Linked DNA regions of Schizosaccharomyces pombe. The gene in region 1 interacts genetically with each later gene. Each region holds a gene or a part of one and is shown in the gene's direction. Other genes may lie near its edges.

Region 1 (6,173 bases):
GAAAGAAGAAGAAGAACGTCGTGCTGCTGAAGAAGCTGCTGCTAAAGCCTCTGCTGCTGCTGCTAACAAAAAGGCTAAGGAGGATAAAAAGAAGGCCCAAAAGCGTGATAAAAAGGTTGTCAAGAACGCTCTCAAAGACTTCAACTATTTTAGTGCAACTGACGTTCCTTCAGCTGAGCATGTTGACAGTGTGTTAAAAGACGTTGATGTTATCATGTCCAAGTTAGGTGAAGGAGAACTTGGACAATTAGCTGCTGACATCAATGCTGAGAAAGCTGCCGGTGCTGCTTCTGTCCAAGCTGTTTTTGACAAATTTGCCAAAATGTTTATTGAACGTGGATCCATGTCATCAGCCGACGTTGTTTTCTTTGCTCAGTAAGTTCATAACAAAAAAGGTATTGGGTTTAGCGTGAGTTTAGAAATCAAATTTGGTGCCATCTTTGTTTACCCACTTTCATTTATACATCTTGAAATGTGTGTTTTTTTTGATACCATAGAATAAAATATTTACCATTCCTTTCTTCTATTATTTGCTATGCTCAGTAATGTATTTTAAAGATTTTAGATTCTTTGAAGTTCTGAAACTTCTATCAATATGCTGATCATTCTATGAGAACTTCAGAGTATCGGGTTTAATTAGCCGGAATTGCTCGAAAATAATTCATTAAATTTTTTTTCATTTATTTTGTAGTGCTCTGATACCCTGTCGTAATTTTGGATTTTCAAAGCACAAGAATAAGCCGTAATCAAATCCATGTCTTTTTTAAATTATTCTGCAAGTATAATCGAGTTGTGAAATTGCCGTCTAATATACTTATAAAATCATTTTTGTCATTCTTTGCTGAATAGAACGAGTCTACCAATACTGCATTCCAGTGTACTCTACGAATATCTTCTTGGACGAAAATATATATATGTGTATGTATAACAAAGCATGCAACGAATCTATACTAGTTTGAGTATTACACAAACCTGCATTCTCTAAAATCGTTTTGCATTACTGAAACGAACGAAATTAGGAATAAAAATTTTGCATAATGAATGATGGTTTCGCGGACGATGAATTGTCCCTTCCCAAAGGTAAAAGAATTGCAATCCATATTTACTAATAATGTGTAGCCACCGTTCAGAAAATGGTTTCCGACATACTTCCAGTGGACTTGACTTTTACGAAGGAAGCTAGAGATTTACTGATAGAGTGCTGTGTGGAGTTCATACATCTTGTTTCTAGTGAAGCTAATGAAATATGCGAAAAGGAGGCAAAAAAAACTATAGCCGCTGAACACATTATTAAAGCTTTAGAGAATTTGGAATTCAAGGAATATATTGCTGAAGCTTTGGAAGTGGCGGCAGAGCATAAAGAACAACAAAAGAATCGTGAGAAGAAAAGTAGCAAATTTGAACAATCCGGTGTATCAAGAGATGAGTTATTGAGACAACAAGAAGAGCTATTAAGCCGAGCCCGTGAGCGTTTTAAAAATCAAAATATTGCTCACGATAATCATACGACAACCGCCATTCCTGTTCCTACCGCATCAGAGACCGAAACAAAAGAAAATTGAGCTAGATGTATTTATGGATATTAAAAATCCGGAATTTGTTTAGAATTTGCTTCTATGGCAAATTATCGTTCATGTCTTAAAGTTACTCTGAAAACTAATCAAGTACATACTGTATCTTTCTTTGAGTTATCACTATTTTTGTCTTCATTTATTTAGAGTTTTTATGATGTGAAATTCATGTATTCAGATTTAATGCTATTCCAAATCTTACATTGCATAATGCGCTATTAAAATTAGCAAAGAAATTGATATCAAAAATCAAAGATTAACAATGTATTGAACGATCATATATCTTTTGATGTCAAAACGCTTATATGGGTATTCATTTTATAAGTATAGTATAGCATTGCTGAAGTATAAGAAGAATATTTACGAATGTGTTTGCAGTATAAGATCTCTCCTCTAATTAAATTACTTTTTTAAAAAAGAGAAATAATAATCTAAAAACTCAATCGTCTCGTGGGGGCTGGATACCCAAACAGTGGTAGCAGCAGCTCTCTTTGAATAGGTGGTTAGTAATCTTCAACAAAAGTTTATTTCAAACTTACCGCTTTATAATCATTGTTACCAGCTGACAAGAATTGATCACCAACATGCAGACAGCGAGAAGGATGGGAAATATTAAAAAAATGCTGAAGGCATAAAACACCCAATTTCTTGTCACCAATATCACACCAAATATCATTTCCACCATTGAAAGCAGTAAAAGGAACTGAGAAATTTCGTATCTGCAACGTTGCTTGTGTCTCCAAAACAGCTTCCTCCAGTTGCTCCCTTCTCAGTTTTTGACCAAGGGAAGGTACAAATCCAACTGATCTTTCTTTACGAACTATTTTTGCATCAATGTTAAGTCCTTGAATGCAAGAACGAAGAGTTTCTTCAGCAGTATCCAAAATTTCGAGAATCTCATCATGAGGCCATGTTTTCATCACGGGAAGCATCCATGAGTCAGCATCCACCCATTGTAAACCATGCAGTGGGTCATAAGCAAATAAGTAATTGCTCTCGCCTCCTAATACATGAAGTTTCCGTTTCTGCCCATCCTTCAAGTCGCTGTCTTCGATTGCCTGCAATAATCCTGAAAATCTATCAGTATACTCCTGGCCAGTACGACTGGGATAGCCAGCAGCAGTAAGAATGATGACATAGATCCCCCTCGAAAGTAACTGAATCAAACGGGATATAACAGGATTGTCAGGAAGCAAAGGCTGCCCATCTTCGTACAGAGTTACATCTCCATCAAAACTGACCATATCCAAGCCATTATCCGCAAGGTAATTCAATTGAGCACCTCCTAATATTGCCCTGACATCGTTAAAACTCGGTGCCACAAAGCTTCGTTTAGCTAGACAAAGCTTTGGTTCCAACGCGTACATAGCTTTCACTAATGGCAAAGGTGTCCAAAATATGGTGATCGATGGAACAAGCATCTTTAACTGGCTATAGGATCCACCTTCTGAAACTATTTGAACTATCAATGAGAAAGGTTAGAAAATTAAAAGAATGAAGGGGAAACTTACTATGAGCCTCAATAAGTTTTTCCACATCTCTTAAAATTACAGCGTAACGCTCAAGCGTTTCCTGCTCTTTTTCGCGCGTTACTAGTTTCTGTGAAGGGGTTCCTGCCTGTAAAACAAAAGGAACTGACAACAAACCTTTAATCCATTCAATAAAATCGTCCTTCCGATGTTGCTTTAACGCATACTCAACACGATATCTAGAAGCCATTGCCTAAACCTTTAATGACAAACACTTATTCAAAAAAAGAAATCTACACGAATGCAAGAAATTTGAAGGAAAGTATGTTAATTGAAAGAGAAAGGGTAAAAGTTGCTTTATTATGCTTTCCGAAACGATTCAAAAATGATTACGTTGAGAATTGTTATACTAGTATTAGCAGCGAGCACTATCACTCAAATACGTCTATCACAATTCCAAAAATTAGCTATAATTTATGAGCATTCTTAACAAAATTTTATAAAAGTATATAGTCCAGGTGTAACATGAGCCTTCTGAACTATTCTTCCTCTACACATTTCTAATCCGCGTTAAATAAGGAATTTTCTTTCATTAGTAAATTATAAACCTTTCTTGCTGCGCAGTTAAATTTGAAAGGTTCTATTCGCTTTTCATTAGCAGTAAAGTCAATAGTACATAGAAAAATTGCTAGATTAACAGAACTTTTGAAGCGAAACAGCAAGCAAATCGATATTTATTGCATTCACTAACTCTCTTTTGCGAAACATACAAGCAAATATATATTTTAAAAAAACACCATAAGAAATGTCTACAGCTGCTTCTGATTCAGGTGTTGAAAAACTCGTCGAGGAAAACAAAAGGGAAGAGGTGAAAAAGAATGAAGAAGAAAAAGAATTTGATTTAGGGTTAGAAGAAAATCCAGATTCTGTAAAAAAACCTCGCAAACGGTTGGCAAAATTTGATGAAGAAAGGTAAGAATTTGGTCGGTTTTCGGAAAATAATTATTGACCACTCGTTTTCCCTATTTAGATTGATTTCTGAAAATGGAATTCCAAAATTAAGGAAAATGATGCGCAAAGTTAAGTTAAAAGGAAAGGGTCATGAGGCAAAAGACTTAAAACAACTATTGGGAATGTATCATATATGGACTCATGAGTTATATCCAAGAGCCACGTTTGATGACTCAATATCGTATCTTAAAACTCTAGGAAAACACAGATCCGTCAAGGTTCGACGTCGTGGTTGGATTAATGAAATTGCTGTTGAAAATGGTTCGGACTCTAATGCTTCATTATTTACTGGTCCATCTTCCAATTCATTAGTGAATTTGACGAGCGGAGATCCATATGTTCAAGATACAGCTGATGATGCTTTTGTCGCCCAAGACAACGATACCCAATTAGAATAGTCACCATTAATGAATGATTGAGATGTTGTTGCAGCTTTGTTTATCAATATTAGTAATCATGATCATTTTTTGGGACTATTTTCAGCTACTTTTATTTGATGTAATGTTTAATTTATTCATTTTGTTTTATTTAAACGAACAATTGTAGCCTCTAACTCCGAAATTCAATAAACTATAGAACATCTAGACAAATGATTTCCATTCTACGAATTGACCAGTAAGCTTTGGATTGTTATTCAAGGCTAGAAAAGAAAGAGCTTTGGCGATGTCCTGAGGAGCCACAAGTTGACCGGATGTTTTAAGTTCTTTGAAAAAATTATGAGTATCTCCACCCATGGCTTCTTTATTGGAATCATTACGGATACTAACTTGCATAGGGGTATCAACAACTCCCGGACGTACTGCCACACTCATTATATCAGGCTCCTCGCTGCCAAGGTTCATGACTAGCATGTTGATGGCGGCCTTTGAGCAACAATATGCAGCCCACGCGGGAAAAACACGAACAGCAGCGCCAGAGGATACAATCACAATAGTACCCTTGGTTTTACGCAAATGCGGGATTGCATACTTCACTGTTTCAACCACACTGAAAAAGTTGATATCAAACAACTTACGCCATTCATTGATATCTGCATCAGCGATTTTGGCTATAGGTTCAAGGACACCTGCATTTAGAATAACCGAGTCCAATTTTCCAAACTTTTTAATAGCAGTTTCGATACTAGCTTTTCCAACCTCCGTAACGTCACCCTTCACGTGAACAAATGAGTCAGGATTTTGAATAAGCAAAGTTTCTAGTTCTGGGGTCAAGGACCTACTAACAGCAATAACCTTGGCCTTCTTCTGTAGAGCTTCTGCAGTAGCCAATCCAATACCCTTAGAGGATCCAGTCAACAAAATAACTTTTTCAGCGGTTTCGGCCATAATGCTTTTATAGAAATTTATAGAAATGTAGGGTGTGAATTACTTTAGTGTAAAGCCAGATTGTGGAACTGAGGAAATATGTTAGCTATGCTATGATTTATATCATGATGCCAAGATAACGAGGTTCCGTATAATCACAATAAAGTAACCGATATAATCTTAATTTTGCTTATTTATTCACGAAAGGAATTGTTATATGGTATTAAAAAACGAAAGTAATGAAGTGCAAATACAAAACAAGCTTGCCATTCCCTTTATTTTTGTTAATGGTCAAACATTACTAAAACAGAAAAAATAAATATGAGTATGAAAACAACATACTTTATTGTATTAATAGAGCTTGATGCAGTAATTTCAAAAAATTACCGAGGAAACTTTTTTTCAGTAAATTGTCTGTTTGTATTAATTTCAGTTGTCTTTCGAATTTTCAAAGAATAGGTATCGTTGGATTGCTTTTCAGCTTGAACGACGTTCCTTCTAAGGATTTCCGCAACAGCATTACCATTTTGGATTTCTTTTTTTGCTTCTTCTGGAGAACAGCACCGATGATTGTGAAAACCAGTTCTGATTTTATCCCTTGCAGCTGCGAGAATCATTGGGTCCCCTAAGTATCATCTGTGAATAAAAAAAAACATACTTGTTGATAGAGGTTAACCCACTTACCTTCAAAAACCGAATTGGATGCTCGCCAAAGATTACGAAAGCATTGTTTAGCAGCTGACATTACTAACGTTCTAAATTCTTTAAAAAATATTTTTAAAAACAAGAAAAAACGGTCAAAAGAACTAGAATTGGTA
Region 2 (8,137 bases), on another chromosome or scaffold:
GAATGTACAAAGACATTACCTCAAAGGCAATTTCAGGGAAGGATTTGTCCTTCCAAGCCTCAATCCATCCGCTAGGTAGCTGAGGGATTTCTGATGGAATAAACAATCCTCCATCATTAGCCAAACCCTTAAGCTATACAGTAATGGCAATTAGTAAACCGAGTTATAAGTAAGACGCATTTGTGACATACCACAGCCTCTTCAAAAGAAAAATTTGAAGATCCACCACGAGTCGATAAATAACTAACTTGGCTAGACATTTCGCTATTTCCCAAAACAGAACGTTGCTTGTTCTTGGTAAATAAAATCCGCCATTTTTCAGAGAACCTTGCAATCTTTCGTGTTATCAACAGTTTACAAAATTGAGTGTACCAACGTAAATATTTTAAAGATAGTATCGTTAATTTTCACTATAGTAGCTCTTTGAGTTGGTTTTTTTCGAATTTATTATTTTCTGAACCCGTGGCTATTGCTCACTACACTACTCCATTTTACGGTATGCTTCGCTACATTTTTTGTTCTTAAGTTTTATATTTGTCACCCAAAACGGAAATGTATTCGTAATTTTTAATATATCCTAAAATGAAAATATTATAAATTGAATCAAATTTCCTGCGTTTCATATTTCAATTATCAGCTATCAGCTGGTAATTGTACATTAAGTCCAACCTGACTATCGATATATATATAATTGCATATCGTTAAATTGTCATGAAAAGAAAATAGTAAAATCCCAAGTTGAGACTTACCGCAAAGTAACACATCGTTATCTTGGTTAGCAATTGCGTAGTTAACAAAAACGTAAACAAACAAGAGTATGAGTATGCCAAATTACTCTACATTGCTGAAATCGTTTTAATCTTGGCAATAATCTGGTACATCGACTTTCATATAGTAATACGTTGTTTAAAAAGATTAAGATGCTGAAGTGGTAATCTTGGAAAGGCTTCTGTTGTGGTCTCGTTGCAAGATAAAAATAAAATAAAATCTACAATGTAACAAGGTAAGTAGTCATCTTACGTTTAAATGAAGATGAAGATAAGGCAATTAAAATATGTAAAAGATAGGCGTTAAAAGACGTTTCGATTGATGACAACCTAATCAAATCGGTATAACATGATGAAAAATGTAAACTTGGTTCAGTGGCCCAAACATTTAAAACAATAGGCAGCAGCCGTAAAAAATAAATGAGGTAGATCAACAGGACGAATTAGATGGTGCTTGATTGCTCGTTGCAAATTGATAAAAGGATTCGCGAGAAACATTGGAAAATGGCCCCAAGAAAAAGCAAAGGCATTACTTTTTGAAATGTTAAGGAAATTGCAATGAAAAAAGAGACGTTGAAAAAAAAAACATGGGAATTGATTATATTCCAAAATGTAAACTCGATCTAATCACAACAACTCGAAAGCATATCAAAAGTTGATTGAAGCTATTAGGCATAAATTTTACGTTATGAAAGCATTAAAAAGTAAGAGAAAGTGTACAATATAGAGAAATATTATAAACTTCCCAACCGGGTAGAGTTGAAAAGAGTAAGGAAACAAAGTAGCAATCCGGAAACGATAACCAACACAAGATATAAAAAGCAATGCCAATCTCCACTCCTTCAAGCTCTCCACACACTTCACGACTATATACGTATCGGCGGTGCTAATATCAAAAACTAGCGAAAAAGAAAATGTGACAAGATAATAATAAGGAGCCTAACAACACCTCTTCACCGTACGATCGTTTCCGAGGTCAACGTTATTTGCCTGGTTGGAAAATTCGTTTTCTGCATCAATCTTTTGTTTTTTTATTTCCCGGGCAAGGGTAAAAAATGCCTCATCTACATTGACGTTCGTCTTCGCACTAGCTTCTAAAAATTTAACGCCCAGCTCATCGGCTAACGCTTGTCCCTGTTCAAAGGAGACCTGACGCTGATCCTCACAATCACATTTATTTCCAATAAGGATTTTATAAACATTTTCACTAGCATGTTGTTCAACGTTACTAAACCAAGTTCGGACGTTATCAAATGATTTTTTATCAGTTACATCGTATAACAATAAAATACCCATTGCACCACGATAATAAGCAGTGGTAATGGTACGGAAACGTTCCTGGCCAGCAGTGTCCCAAATTTGGAGTTTGATACGTTTTCCATCTAGTTCAATCGTGCGAATCTTGAAATCAATTCCAATCGTTGTGATAAAAGAAGGGGTAAACGAGTCTTCCGAAAATCTCAGAAGAAGACATGATTTTCCCACACCTGAATCTCCTATGAGAAGTAATTTGATTAAATAATCGTAGGATTTTGTAGACATGGAGGAGTGTTGCTTTTGCCAGGTGGTAAGTGGTAGAATCTACTGGAGTCCCTTGAGATAATGCCGCAAAAATACACTTAAATTTATTAATTCAAGTAATGTTATTGTATAAATGGTACTAGTTTTATTTAAGTCTTTGTTTGTGTTTTTTTATGTTGAAAAAACATGACTTTCAACTTTTTTATGTACGTTTCCTAAGGGCAATAAACTCGAAGTTTTGATAAAGGAAGTCACTATTCTAGGGCACATACATACACTCTTGAGAAAGTAACAAAGATATTCACAAGAGAAATAATTCAGATTTCATGTCAGAGAAAAATCTCTGTCACTAAACAATTTACTAGCCATGGATTAATTTATACGATTTGAATGACTGGTAATATGACTAATATAGTACTGCATTGATCAATTTAATCAATGTTTATATGACTGTCATTGACCTAAACATACTTATAATTAACGCTTTAAGTGTTTTGGTTTAGATTTTTCCTTTTTATTTTTGATAATATAGTAAATGGATGGGGGAGAAACAATGAACTTAACGTTAATTCATATGATCATCATTTTAGGCTTTGTCATTGTTGTTCGAGTTGAAACAATAAACCGTTTAAACCAGCATAAACTATAAAATGTTCTACGATTAGGAGTTGGACTGTCTGAAAATAAATAACTTTTAAATTTTTCGAGGTTATGAGTATTCAATAGAGATTGAAATTAATAATTTCTACAATAAAACAAAATAACAAATTATTTCATTTTATCCATTGATATATTTGGTTAGACTACAATTCGATCTTACTTTTTTAATAATATTTTCATTTTTTTAATTCTTTTATGTTTATTAATTCGAATAAATGATGGAAGCCATTTGTCATAACACCTTAATTTAAGTATAAAAAATATTTTTCTCATGTTTTATTTTTAAAAGCATTCAAACATCATACACTTATTTTATTTATTTTTTATTATTGACAATTCAAATACTTGATTTTTGGCTAATAGTGATTTACAGTACTTGAGGTCTTATTGTCGATTACGTAACTCGTAAAACTTCAAGTTGGCTATTCGATTGCTAACCAAAATGCACTAATACGCCAAGTTCAACAAGTAAATTAAAGATCACAAGAAATACTCATAGCAGTTAAACGTATCGTTAAAGCATCTTATATAGCTGCGCATTTTGGAAAAGACTATCTTATTTATCATATCTGTTGGTGCTCTGCAAAATCAATTCATATTGCTACAAGGGTTCAATTATTCATACAGGAAGTTACGCGATTAAGCAGCCTTAGTGACTGCAGTCATATTCTGCTATTAGTGTTTCGTTTGTATGTGGTATTCATACTAGAAAGAGATATGGTTTTTCGGCCTTATCTTCTCTGCATAATATTGCTTACTAACTGTTAAGGTTTTCCAATTGCTGAATTACGATAATTACAGTTACCAAGGTTGCTGAAAGTATTTGAAACAATTTACGATTTATTATGAATTCAATTCTTTTTTACAGAATAAGAAAAACATTGGGCCCATATTACAATTTGGAATCACTTCAAACAACTATTGTTACGCATAAACGAGAGTGAAAGCTACAAACAAAATGATGGCTGATGAAAGTTTTGACTTGGAGAGTTTGGGTTCGGATGAAATATTTGAAGGCGTGAATTTAGATGAATTAGAGCAACAAGCTCAAACCCAGGTTCAAGCTCAAAGTTCTCAAGTAGTTGTACCGAGTGAAAAGCAAAAGCAAAATTTAAATCTTCCAAATTCATACACCAATTCTTCTCAAAAAGTCCGGGAATCTACCGTAAACTCACAAGCCTCATTATCCTCTAATGACCTTCGAACAGAACTTTTAATTAAGTCGGGAGAAAATGCAATTCTTCGTGCTAACCTTCTAAAACAATCCGAAGCTAATAATGCCGCCCTAGAATCGTTAAATAATTCTATAAAGCAAAAGCAAGATGAATACCAACGGAAATTAGAGGAGCTTAAAAAAGAAATTGAATACGCAAAAACGAAATCCCTATTTCATGAGCGTGAAGCACAGGATGCTATCGAAACTATGAAAAAAATGAAAAGAGATGTAAAGAATTCTCCGATTATGAAAAAATCCCATGAAGAAGATGGTGACAATAAATTGTTATCTTCTTCTGATCAGCTTGCTAAGAGCACAAAGCATGCTGCAAAAAACAGCCCTTCTAAAAAGAAGCGCAAAACAAGTGTTGCTACTGCTGAAGATGCTTCAACGGATAGTGTGAGTTCTAGTATTGCTATATCAGATGCAAGTTTGTCTTTGAGCCTGATGAAAGATTTACTTTCTCTACAAAAAAGAGAAGATTTGTATTTTGTAAGTATTTTTAAACTGTCGTGTTAAATTTTATTCCCTTTTCTTACTTTTCTAGTCTTCTAGAACTTTAGCATACGTATTTGGTGGTTGTATGCATTCATTAGAAACAATTGAAGGAGAGGAGGAAGGTGAATGTTTGTTTAATAACTTGAAAGCTCTAATATACAGTCCCGATCTATCTATGGATTCCTCCAATTATGTACAATCTGTCGTTCAAACATCATCGTCGATTTTAAATTATTCAATGAAAAAATTATTATATAATGCCTCCTTTGCTATAACATCTTTGTTTAATGCATTATTAATTTTGGACCCTAAATCATCCACCTTTATCTTTCAGGAAAATGTCGTTTCTTTAATAAGTGGTTTTCTTCTTAAGGAATACGAAAAAAGCAATTTTTTGGACTCAAAGTTTTACGTTTTAATAGATTTTCTTTATTTATACTTATCTATAGCACGTGAAAGTGCTGATGACTTTGCAAACATTACTAAAGCGGTTGATCCGTCGTTATTCGAATCCTGCATTCGAGTGCAAAATGCTCCTTCTTTGATTAAATGTGGTGTTTGTTTAATTATTAGTTCCACCACTCCTTCGTTTTGCGCTTCAGTTAACTTGTTAAATGCCGATGATAAATCCCAAGAATCACTCATGCAACTTTTCACAACTATGGCCCATATTTTAGTTGTTACTACTAGGGAAAGGATTAATTTTCCTGAATTGGTACGTTTACGAATTGTGCTTATAATCTTTGCATTGCTTATTTCTAACAAATTAGAATGAATGGATAACGCTTCATCGCTTTGTCATATCCTTTTTTACCGTGTTTATACAAATGTCTGGAAACATTGGTAAAGAGATTTTAAAAGTATGCAATCCCTTAATAGTATGCATCGGACTAGCCATCACTTGGTATCATCAGCAACTCCTTTCGTCAATGTACCCTCAAAATGAATGCGTAGAGATTTTAGTATCTCTTGTTCGGCTTCTGTACATTTTATCTTCCGAAGATTTATCATCAAAATTTATGTTAGCTGAAAATGCGTTACAACCTCGTTTCGTTTATGCAATAGCATGCTGCGCATTCGGCGATACTGAACAAAAAGCGTTTGGCAATTTGGGTGAGGAAATGTATTTTCTCACTACAGAATTGTTGGAAGTTTGCGTCTCTCCCGAAGAGCTGGAGCAGTTGTACACTAATTTTTAGATAATGAAACAGATGAATCTATTTCCCTAATTTTTCAAATGAAATAATGATACTTGTTTCTTCAGTGTTGTTCTTTCCCGTCCCGCACCCACATCCTCGCAAATTAAATACAAATCAATCTGTTTCCCCAAAGGAATGCGTACCACAAAAACATCCCCATTCCGTTCTTTTAGTAAAACTTACGGCTATATTTACCTGCAAATAAAATCATCTAGCAATTAACGAAAATGAATATATTAAAGTACCACTAACATAAAGAATCATCACTATGTAAATTCAATAAAATGCATTTGAAAGTTCAAATATCAAAACCGTTTTGATTCATAATAAAGAAAATCCGTCATAGAAGAGTTTCAAGAAAAACTGTAAACATTCATAACATAAAGAGAAAAATCCAATAATTCTCTTCACTAGAGTTTTTCTTCATTCTTTATCCATTGAATGCATATTTTTTTATTTTTTTTACAAAAAATATTTGCGTCTGATTTCCTTAAATGGGAGAATCCATTCCCAGGTTGATGTGAACAGCTTTTGTTTGAGTATAATTGGTAAGACCGTAAGAGCCCAATTCGCGACCGATGCCACTCTCCTTATAACCACCAAAGGGAATTTGGTGATGAAGTAAGTTATAACAATTCACCCAAACAGTACCGGCTTCAAGAGCATTGCTGACCTTGATGGCATTGGTAATATTGTTAGTGTGTACACCAGCAGCTAAACCATATGTACTGTTGTTACCGCGACGGATGGCCTCCTCGATGGTCTTGAATTTAATGACGGCAAGAACGGGTCCAAAAATTTCCTCCTTACCGACAGCCATGTCCTCGGTAACGTTGGAGAGAATAGTAGGTTCGACAAAGTAACCGAGATTACCATGACGCTTACCACCAATCTCTAATTTGGCACCATGAGCAATGCCACTCTCAATATAACTAACAATACGTTCATACTGTTGCTTACTAACTTGAGCACCTTGGAAGGTATCTTCGGCGAAAGGATCACCAACCTTCAAAGTCTTGGCCTTGGCAACCATGCGTTTAATGAACTCATCGTAAACATCCTCTTGCACGTAGACACGGCTACCTGCACAACAGACTTGACCAGAGTTGTAAAAGATACCATAGTTAGTCCAGACAGCAGCTGAGTCCAAATCGGCATCGTTGAAAACAATATTGGGAGACTTACCACCCAATTCAAGAGTGACCTTCTTCAGGTTGGAGGAGGCGGCAGCACGCATAACCATACGACCGACACCGGTAGAACCGGTAAAGGCCACCTTATCAATGTCCATGTGAGAACTAATAGCGTTACCACAACGGCGACCATCACCGCTGAGAACATTGATGACACCTGGAGGGAAGCCACATTCAGGAACAAACTTGGTAAGACACAGAGCGGAAAGAGGAGTGAGTTCGGCAGTCTTCAAAATAATAGTATTACCACAAGCGACGGCAGGAGCAATTTTCCAAGCGCACATCAAGAAAGGGAAATTCCAGGGGATGATTTGACCACATACACCAATGGGTTCGTGACGAGTATAGGCAAAACGCTTAATGTCGGTTTCAATGGTTTGACCATAATCCTTATCGGCCCAACCACCATAATAACGGAAACAATCGGCAGCAGCTTGAACGTCACCTCTAGCCAAAGTGATACTCTTACCATTGTCAAGAGTCTCAATAGAAGCGAGGTATTCCAAGTTTTGCTCGATACAGTCAGCGAGACGGGAGAGGCAACGTCCACGTTGAGCGCTGGAAAACTTGCGCCATGGAGCATCGGTCTGGAAAGCGGCACGAGCAACTTTCACGGCGATATCGACATCCTCTTCGTCGGCGTCAGCTACCTCACAAATAAGTTTCTCAGTAGAAGGAGAGTAAACCTTCACACGACCACCGTGAACGGAATCGACATGTTGGTTATTGATAAAGAGACCGACAGGTTGAATGTAAGTTTTTCCTGTAGGAACGGTAATTTCGACGTGATCAACGAGTTTTGTAGACATTTTGAAAAGTTTGTATTAAAAAATTGAGAAAAGGGGTCGTTGTCGTAAATGAGTAAGAGTAATTAAAAAATTAACTAGAAAAAAAAAAAAACCAAAGATAAAAAATGAAGTAGTGGGATAAATTTGGCAGAGCTGAATTGAAATGCAAACACAGGACAAAACCAAAAGATCAGTAATGAAATGGAAAATATGAGGTGTTAACGATTGTATAAAATAATTTTATATCAACCAAAGTAAACAACGTCGTCAAAAAGTTATGGGCGAAACCAAACTA
Region 3 (9,200 bases), on another chromosome or scaffold:
TTGGACAAGACTTATGAGAAATTTAAGTCAACTCAAAGTACAATCTATTCATATTTTATTTTTAAGATCAGGAGAATCTGATTGCTAAAGATACAATTTAATTAGCTCTTCGCTTACCCCACTCTTCGAATCAATGATCCCTAAATCGGTAATGAGACCTGAGACAAATTCGGGTGGTGTAACATCCAAAGTAGGATTATTTCGAATTTGTTCTTCATTCATGATCAGCTCGTTATGAATAGCATCTGATGGAGTTGGAATTGGTTCAGGTTCAGGATGAACAGTTTCAGGAGATGGATCATCAAATTCCAGAATAGGACGACTAAAGGGAATATCATATTGAGAAAGGGGAAACATACGCACGAATTTATGACTAAAAAACGTTAGTACAAATTTTAAAATTAACAGGGAAATGGAGAGATCATAGGGAAAAATAATTGTAAGCTGAATGGATTCAACGTTTACGTACCTTTCTGCAACTGCGTAAAAGGGCTTATGTGCATGTTTGGCAAAAACGGCAAGTTGGAAAGTACCGATTTGATTAATGAGTCCTCCGTTTTCGACAACACCTTCTGCGCCAACCAAGACCAAATCTACACGGTTCATAGTAAAGCTTACAGCGGAATCCAAAACCATGCAAGTAGGAATACAAGCATTTTTTAATGTTCTCGTCATTAGACAGCCTGAGCCGCTAGGTCTTGATTCTGTGACAAAAACTTTGAAACGAACGTGACGCTTGGCAGCAGCCAAAAGAACAGCCGCAACACCGCGTGAAAACCCATGGGTAAGAATAACACTACCATCTCGAATAAGAGGGTAACCTAAATGTGCAATTCTTTGTCGACAAGCACGAGCACGCTGAATAAAGAGTTTTCCATTTTCTACCAAGTGACGTTTGCATTGCTCAAAATCCTAAAGCCGTGGAGAATTAGTAAAGAAAAGAAAACTACTTTGCATCAACACATACCCCGACATCGTGTAGTGATCGAGTGACAAACCGTTGGAAAATGTCACAACCAGCTGAAAGCGAAATGTTGTTTTGAACGCCTTCCTTCAGCGTATTTGAGCCATTTTGTAAAATGTCCATAAATTCTGAAATTGTCTTGGCTAATAGAAAAACATCAGTAAATTCATTTCTCACATGAGTACTACAAATTAACATACCTTGAGAGCGCGACAAAAGCTGGACTAAAGCCTCAATGGCGGCTACAGGCATCGTGATTTCTGGATCATCTTGCAAAAATTTTTTGTAAACCTGGACGATGTCAAATTCTCCTTGAGAATGTCGAACGATTCCCGAAGAATCCGATTCCACCATATTCGCAGATGCTAGACGCTCTTGCTTAGTAGCAACATCTTTTCCATACTTTAAGGATATCCAACAAAATCAAATAACGGGCAATGCCTTTTTGTATTAAATTGTAAGCTACGCAATTTGGTATCTGATTTAAGGATACGTAGAACTGCGGTGAGTTTTCCTTGTGATCTATTATATTACAATACACAGGTTGTATAAGTAGCAACTGAGTATAGGTATTGTATTAACTGAGTTATAATGTTACCTATCACTAATATAGCTCATAACTGAACTGAGGAACGAGGTTCAGCAGTAGCTCTATTTATATTATTCAGATAATATAGATCTTAATAGATTATCATTAAGATCAATCTCAATATCGTATCATACATGGTACGATATATAATTAGAACATGTGACATATAGTGATACGCAACGTAGATGATGCGATGTCGAGATTGATATTGATAATACTATATTAACAGATAGATTATTTGGATAGAATCGATAGAGATACAACTAAACCTCATTTCGCAGTTCAGTTATAAGTGATAGGTGACATTATAACCTAAATAGTACAATACCAGTACTTAGTCATTACTTATATAACCCGGCTATTATAATATAATGGATCATATGCAAAATTCACCAGTTTTTCGTATCGTTAAAGCAGATACCAAACTGCGTAGCTGACATTATACGGCGTTTTGGATACTGATCTACAGATATGTTCCTATAGATATTTATGTAGGTGATTTGAATGGTATTTACATATAAATTGGTTTATTAAATAGCTTATATTTAATTAAAGCTAAATATTGAGAATAATTTTAATATCATATTCTTGACTGAGTACATCTGAGGATAATCATGAAATTCTTCCTCGGTGATCAGTAAACAATGCTTGACTGTTGATTTCCAATATGTAACGTTCAACGATACTTATCATTGTATAGATAGTGAATTTGTAGTATAATTTACTATGTTCCTAATAGTTGAGCGTATCATGAACGAAATATGTCAAAACGCTTCCATTTTAAAAAAAAAGGAGTACTGATGAAAGCAGTAATTGGATTTGGTAAAAAGTAATATAGAAAGTTTTTTAAAAAACTATTTTATGTTTAAGAGACCTTTCAAAAGTTCATGACCATTTCTACGAGAAACTAATCTTTAGTCCAACCTTCGTAAATCTCGCTTATATTAAGCTTGATTTTACTTCGGTATTTATGGATGACGCGAACACTAAACTGGTATAGAAAAAACGCTATTACTTTCAGCATCTAAAGAAAATCATTTATGATAATTTCTATGCTTTCAATTATATCTAAATATTTACATGCTCAATCATTCAAAGCGATGCTACAAAAATATTATGTTTTAGTTGTCGACTCGAATTTCAGTAAAATCCTAACTTTATTGCTAGACATCCGTAGGTTTTCATTTATGCTATAAATCTGTGAATCACCTCGTGATCGGCAAGTTGTTAAAATAATCTTTTAAGTAACTCTAATACCATGCACTATAGTAAAGAAGGTATATATTTCTTTGCGTGCCTAGTTCTTGTTTTCAATAGCAATAGTCGTTATCTCCCATAGCTTTTAATTCTGCTCATCGATGAGAGTAACATATTCCAATATCTTCTCTACATTATCAAATCGTTTTGCAATTATAAAAATATCAATAGCTTTCGATTTCCCCCAATATGGCTAATGCTAAAATTTATAACATTGATGTAGAATTTGGCTTAGTTAAGATGCAAGTTGAAAATGTCTTATGTTTTATGATTATCAGAAAATGTTTTGTGTAGTATCTGATATTAAAAAATGCATATCAACTTTTACAATAAATTCGCTTGCGCAAAATGTATAGAGACTGCATATCTCGTTTCTTCTCCCTGCGGAGTGCCTGTAACTGGCGTCTTGCACTTTCATTCAAAATCGAAATTTTTTGGTAAGGATTTGATAGAGATTGTCACTTGGTAGCATATTTTTTCTATCTTGAATTCCTTTTTCTAGGCTTTTGTGGCTCTTGGCCGTCCACTCTTTATTTTTGTATTCAACTGTTTTTTAATCACATAAGTCTAGTCATAATCTTTTGAACCAACTCAAAGCTTCTTTTTTTTATTTTTTTCTTTGTTAAAAAAAGTCTTTATTCCTTTTATTATATCAGTTTATGGATTTCATCGTGTATGGCTTTATGTGTTCATTCCTTCTGGGCAACGGCGGTAGACACAGCGACTTCATGTCATTTTATATCATCTGAAAACTGCTTAGTTTTATTACAAGCCTTAAAAATTAATATTTATCTCTGTAGTGAGGTTCATGGCTTACAATTCTTTACCTCTATCCCTTTATTTTCTACGGTGAAACATATACGCCCATATCGCCCTCCAGGATTAGATAGAGACTATTTATTTGTAGTTCTCAATGATGATACTTATTTTTCGATTTATTGGGACGAGGATTATCAAAAAGTGATCGTCGACCATCCTCCAGTTCGCTATCGAGTTACATTTCCTTGGAATCGCAACGCGAAAAGCTACTGCCTTGTCGACTTAAGGATGCGTGCTATTTTTTTAAGCATTGACGAAATTTCCATGATATGTATTAGAATCCTTTCTGCCGAAGAACGGTTGAAAACTGGCCGTTCTATAGATAGCGGATTTCCTTTTTCTTTTCCAGTGCATCTCATATATGATATGTGCATTCTCAATGATTCCAGTACCCCAACTCTTGTGGTCCTTCACAGCGATGGCTTAGATTGTTATGTAACAGCTTTTCTTTTAGATTTAAGCTCAAAAAGTTTGGGAAAGGGGATTAGACTATTTGAGCGGGTTAAACCGTCAATGATCATGCCCTTTGGAAAAAGAGGTTTGCTGGTTTTTGAGAGTTTGTTTATTCATTGCATGTATCGCGGTAATTTTGTTACAATCAATGGTCCTTGTACTACTTATATGCATTGGACTCCTTTGAAAGGGCAAAAGATGCATTATATTGTTTGTGATACTAATGGATATCTTTTCGGAGTATATTCGAGTATCTTGGGAAAAAACAAATGGAGCTTGGTTATGGAAAGACTACCAATCCCACCTTTCGACTTTATTACTTCTCTAAATTCCATCCATGAGGGACTCTTGTTTATCGGAAGCAAAAATTCGGAATCTAAACTTATTAACCTGTCTACTTTGAAGGATGTTGACTCAATACCCAACTTAGGACCCATTCATGATTTACTAGTACTCAAAAACGACATTGAAAAAAGTTTCCTTGTATGCGCAGGAACACCAAGAAACGCTTCTTTAATTTATTTTCAACATGCTCTGAAATTAGATATTTTAGGGCAGACGAAAATCTCGGGCATCCTTCGAGCTATGGTCCTACCATCATATCCAGAGCATAAGCTCTTCCTCGGGTTTCCTAGTGAAACTGTTGCTTTTAATATCAAAGAAGATTTCCAGTTAGAGCTAGACCCATCTCTATCAACCAAAGAAAGGACGATTGCGCTTTCAGGGACGAATGGTGAGTTTGTACAAGTCACATCTACTTTTCTTTGTATCTACGATTCTGCAAAGCGCTCTCGTTTAGTTTATATTGAAAAAATCACGAACGCTGCTTGCTATCAAGAATACTCCGCAATCGTTATCAATGGAACAGCATTGGCAATATTTAAAAAAGATACAGAAGTTGCACGAAAAGTTTTTGAAAGTGAAATTTCTTGCCTTGATTTTTCAGCGCAATTTCAAATAGGAGTTGGATTTTGGTCTAAGCAGGTGATGATACTTACATTCTCAGATAATTCGTCAATTAGCTGCGCCTTTCAAACCAACGTTCCATCATTGCCCAGAAATATTATTTTAGAAGGAGTTGGTGTTGACAGAAATCTTCTTTTAGTTTCTAGCGGAAGTGGTGAATTTAAATCTTATGTACTTTTCAAAAATAATCTGGTATTCTCTGAAACAAAACATTTCGGTACAACCCCTGTATCGTTTAGGAGATTTACGATGAATATTGGTACCTATATCATATGCAACAATGACTGTCCACACATGGTATATGGGTTTAATGGAGCACTATGTTATATGCCGCTTAGTATGCCTCAAAGTTATGATGTGTGTCAGTTTCGTGATAACTCAGGGAAGGATTTTCTCATTTCTGTATCATTAGGGGGCTTGAAATTCCTTCAACTTAATCCATTGCCAGAATTGACCCCAAGAAAAGTACTTTTGGAGCATGTTCCGTTACAAGCCATTATTTTTCAAAATAAACTGTTGCTTAGAACACTCGAGAATAGATATGAAGATTACGAAAGTTACAAGGAAAATTATCACTTGGAGTTGGTCGATAGTTATGATGATAATTCGTTCAGGGTTTTTTCTTTTACCGAAAATGAACGTTGTGAGAAAGTTTTGAAGATTAATGAGAGTTCTTTACTTGTAGGAACAAGCATTATAGAACAAGATAAGTTGGTGCCGGTAAATGGAAGATTAATTTTGTTAGAGTTTGAAAAGGAGCTTCAGTCTTTGAAGGTAGTTTCGTCTATGGTACTATCTGCGGCCGTGATAGATCTGGGGGTATATAATGATCGATACATCGTTGCATTTGGGCAACAAGTTGCAATCGTTAAACTTACCGAGGAAAGGCTTATGATAGATTCTAGGATATCACTAGGTTCTATAGTTTTACAACTCATCGTAGAGGGTAACGAGATTGCTATAGCGGACAGTATTGGACGTTTTACGATTATGTACTTCGATGGCCAAAAGTTTATTGTCGTTGCCAGATACCTTTTTGGAGAAAACATTGTGAAAGCAGCATTATATGAAGGAACAGTTTATATAATAGCAACTAATAGTGGCTTGCTAAAACTTCTTCGTTATAACAAAGATGCAAAAAACTTTAATGACAGATTCATTTGTGAAAGTGTGTACCATCTGCATGATAAAGTTAGCAAATTTCAAAATTTCCCAATAACAAATACCAATTCGTTTTTAGAGCCAAAAATGCTTTTTGCAACGGAAATTGGTGCTATTGGGAGTATAGTATCATTAAAAGATAAGGAGCTAGAACTGGAGGAACTTACAAGAAAAATTCGAAAATTAAAATTTTCATACTTGTCATCTATGGACTACGAAAGTATAGAAGCAGACCTCATTTCTCCAGTCCCGTTTATTGATGGAGACTTGGTTATCGATGTCAAAAGATGGGCATCTTCAGAACTTTTCCGATTATGCAGAAGTGTAGAACATAGGGAATCACTCAATTCTTACCAAAAAGTTCAAGCCCTCCTTGAGGAAATACAAAGTTTATGTTAAACGTATTATTGCCTTTTTGCTCTGAGTTATTATCTTACACTTTATGGATCATTGCAAATTTGGAAGTTTGGTTCTAGGACTGTATTATGCATTTGTGAGTAATACAAAAAAAATCTTTTGATTTATAATTATAAGTCACAAGCTGTCGCAACATGGCACTGATAAATACAAGTACATAAAGCTTGGTTAAAAAGTTATCAGTCTCAATTTCTTTCGTAAAATCTTCTTCGAAATTCAAGATATTTGTCATAATTGTTGCATCGCTCATCTATCTAAGACGAGATGACATATATTCTGGATTTCAATAATTAAAATGAAACTATTAAATTTCATATGACAGAAACTGAGCACTTCAACTGGCATAAAAGCTCAAAGGAATTTTTTAAGCTAAAAAATTAAAAAAAAACTTTCTCCATTTGGCGATCACGTGTTGCCAAGTATTTTTGGAGTGTAATTAAACTGGAGAAACTCTAGTGTAATTTCTCTATAGGAAGCTAGGGTCAGAGGAAATTAGGATCTTAAAAATTGTTAGTAGAATAAAACATGAACTAAATGCTTACCTTTGGCAAGCCACTTTTTGATTTGATCTTCAGTTTATGGTCTTTACAGGGGATGGTTTTCTGAGTAAGAATATCTGTAAAACTTGAAGGCACTTCTTTCCAGTGTTCTTTCAAATCTATTTCAACTTTAAACGACGAGGTAGAGCCTTCATTGCTTATGGCTATAATGACTCCTGGACGAGTAAATACATAAACTGAATCGTCAATGTATAGTTGAAAAGATAGCACGTATGTAAACTCTGGGTAGGTCTCAACCAAATTTTGACGCGTGCGTATCATTGAAGAAAGATGTCTAAACATTGGATTGGAAGTATTGTATTTACTTTTCCAAAGACCTTCTCTGTTGTCAGGATCGCTACCACCGTCAAACATCTGTTCTTGTCCATAATAGATAATTGGAATACCGTCCATGAAAATAAGTGCAGTTAATGCGTTAAGAGCCAGCTAAATAAATGTTAAAATATATAAAAAATGCAGGTACTAAATTGAAATATTGTTCAATAGACTTACGGCGATGTCTTTGGTTTCATGAAAAAAGCGAGGAAAATCATGATTTTCCAAAAAGTTACACAAGACGGTAACATCTTTGAAGTAATGTCGAACATCAAGTACGGCCTTATCATAAAATGAAAACATAGAATGTTTGGGGTCAAGAAAGGTTTCCCGCAATTGAAAAAATAAAGGGAAATTTAAAGTCGAAGGGAGATATTTTTGATAATCCCCGACGACTTTAGGATCTCCATGAAAAACTTCTCCTGTAGTAAATACATTAGCTGCTTCAATAAATGTTGGGAAGAAGGATTTTTCGACATGTTTGGCTGTGTCCAATCTGATACCATCAAATTGATAACGTTTAATTAGATCAGAAACCCAATTTTGAAAAAATTTGCGAACTTCATTCTTTTCGGTTCGAATGTCTGGTAGGTTCACATGTGAATCTCCTAACCAACCTGTAATTGTCTCATGGGGATCATCGTAATTTTGTACAAACTGCCAGTTGTGATAATACTTCCCAGAGTTAAATGGTTGATAAAGTAAGAAGTTTACGGGTTTGCTTCCGGCATGACCCATATGGTTGACAACTATGTCAACCATGCAAAGCATATTTTTCTCATGAATTGCATTGACTAGTTCTTTCAAATCTTCTTCTGTCCCAAAATTCTCGTTTAACTGAGTCATATCTTGTGCCCAATACCCATGATATGCCTGACCACAATCCGTAGTCTCAGATATGTTTTTAACTATTGGGCTAATCCATATTGCCGTACATCCCAGACTTTTAATGTAATCAAGGTTACGAGTAATACCCTTCCATGTACCCCCAAGGTAAAGATTTCCGCTAGCTTTTGCATAAAAATTATCCTCATCCAAAGCAAATCTGTCCGTTAATACCTGGTATATAACTTGCTTTCGCCATAATTTAAGGTAGGAAGGTTCTTTTTTCGGCAGAATGGAGCAGATTAGATTCATAGTCCCTTTTCGTCAAGTAAACAACATTCACTGGTAACTGTCTCGTTTACAATGCAGCTTTAAATCAAGCCTTCAGCTACGCCTTCGTCTGGATCGCTTCTTCAGCCTTGCTTACTGATCAACAAAGAGTCTTCTTCTCGAAATCTTCCCTTTCAGTACAAATTTAAAAAAGTATCCGAGATTCGTACAGAATTTGTTTTACTTTTCAAAAAGGGACGTTTGCTAAAACCGACACTCTCACTTAAAGGTTATAGTCTTTTGGCTGCTTTTATTAAGAGCCAAAAATATAGTAAGAATATTGAAATACAGAGGGTCTTAAATACTCCGCCTTTCGGTTCCGACGATTGCGGCTTTTTTTTTTTAATTTCAACGCTTTTCGGCTTTTGTTTACATTCAACTTGTACTAAACAAAACAAGTTAACACATTATAAGGCATGCATCGTTAAGTAAATAGTAACGATGGTAGTTGGAAAAGGTGTATGTGCTGGGTTTGTTGACATTTCAAACCTACTGCAAATGCGCATGTAAAGCAGAGAAAAACAGTGTTTTATACTGCGTAAAT

What was found.
Region 2: mutations in swi3 (region 1) and rad26 impair growth when combined (synthetic growth defect), as found in Schizosaccharomyces pombe (3 studies listed by BioGRID, with this or other methods).
Region 3: mutations in swi3 (region 1) and rik1 impair growth when combined (synthetic growth defect), as found in Schizosaccharomyces pombe (2 studies listed by BioGRID, with this or other methods).

The regions. Positions count from the first base shown.
Region 1 is NC_003423.3:3,089,200-3,095,372, reverse strand, and holds swi3 (replication fork protection complex subunit Swi3), read left to right. Parts: upstream 1-3,516; 5' UTR 3,517-3,845; coding exon 3,846-4,012; exon of another isoform or gene 4,013-4,070; coding exon 4,071-4,449; 3' UTR 4,450-4,514; downstream 4,515-6,173. Other genes in the region: zuo1 (zuotin), read left to right, coding at 1-379; ncb2 (transcription corepressor), read left to right, coding at 1,038-1,080, 1,120-1,562; isn1 (IMP 5'-nucleotidase), read right to left, coding at 1,974-2,060, 2,111-3,033, 3,083-3,290; SPOM_SPBC30D10.05C (sepiapterin reductase), read right to left, coding at 4,633-5,376; chaperone protein Mzm1, read right to left, coding at 5,739-5,980, 6,040-6,100. UniProt on the Schizosaccharomyces pombe protein: Forms a fork protection complex (FPC) with swi1. FPC coordinates leading and lagging strand synthesis and moves with the replication fork. It is required for programmed fork-pausing which is necessary for mating-type switching.
Region 2 is NC_003424.3:4,447,209-4,455,345, forward strand, and holds rad26 (ATR checkpoint kinase regulatory subunit Rad26), read left to right. Parts: upstream 1-3,396; 5' UTR 3,397-3,637; intron 3,638-3,717; 5' UTR 3,718-3,906; coding exon 3,907-4,656; exon of another isoform or gene 4,657-4,711; coding exon 4,712-5,377; intron 5,378-5,432; coding exon 5,433-5,861; 3' UTR 5,862-6,161; downstream 6,162-8,137. Other genes in the region: SPOM_SPAC9E9.06C (threonine synthase), read right to left, coding at 1-133, 192-260; GTPase Ypt2, read right to left, coding at 1,707-2,309; atd1 (aldehyde dehydrogenase), read right to left, coding at 6,352-7,863.
Region 3 is NC_003421.2:1,464,689-1,473,888, forward strand, and holds rik1 (CLRC ubiquitin ligase complex WD repeat protein Rik1), read left to right. Parts: upstream 1-3,193; 5' UTR 3,194-3,485; coding exon 3,486-6,608; 3' UTR 6,609-7,092; coding exon of another isoform or gene 7,093-7,125; 3' UTR 7,126-7,168; downstream 7,169-9,200. Other genes in the region: translation initiation factor eIF2B alpha subunit Gcn3, read right to left, coding at 85-373, 470-912, 968-1,107, 1,165-1,318; SPOM_SPCC11E10.09C (alpha-amylase-like protein), read right to left, coding at 7,093-7,125, 7,169-7,612, 7,679-8,638. UniProt on the Schizosaccharomyces pombe protein: Component of the Clr4 methyltransferase complex (ClrC) which contributes to the establishment of heterochromatin by specifically methylating histone H3 to form H3K9me.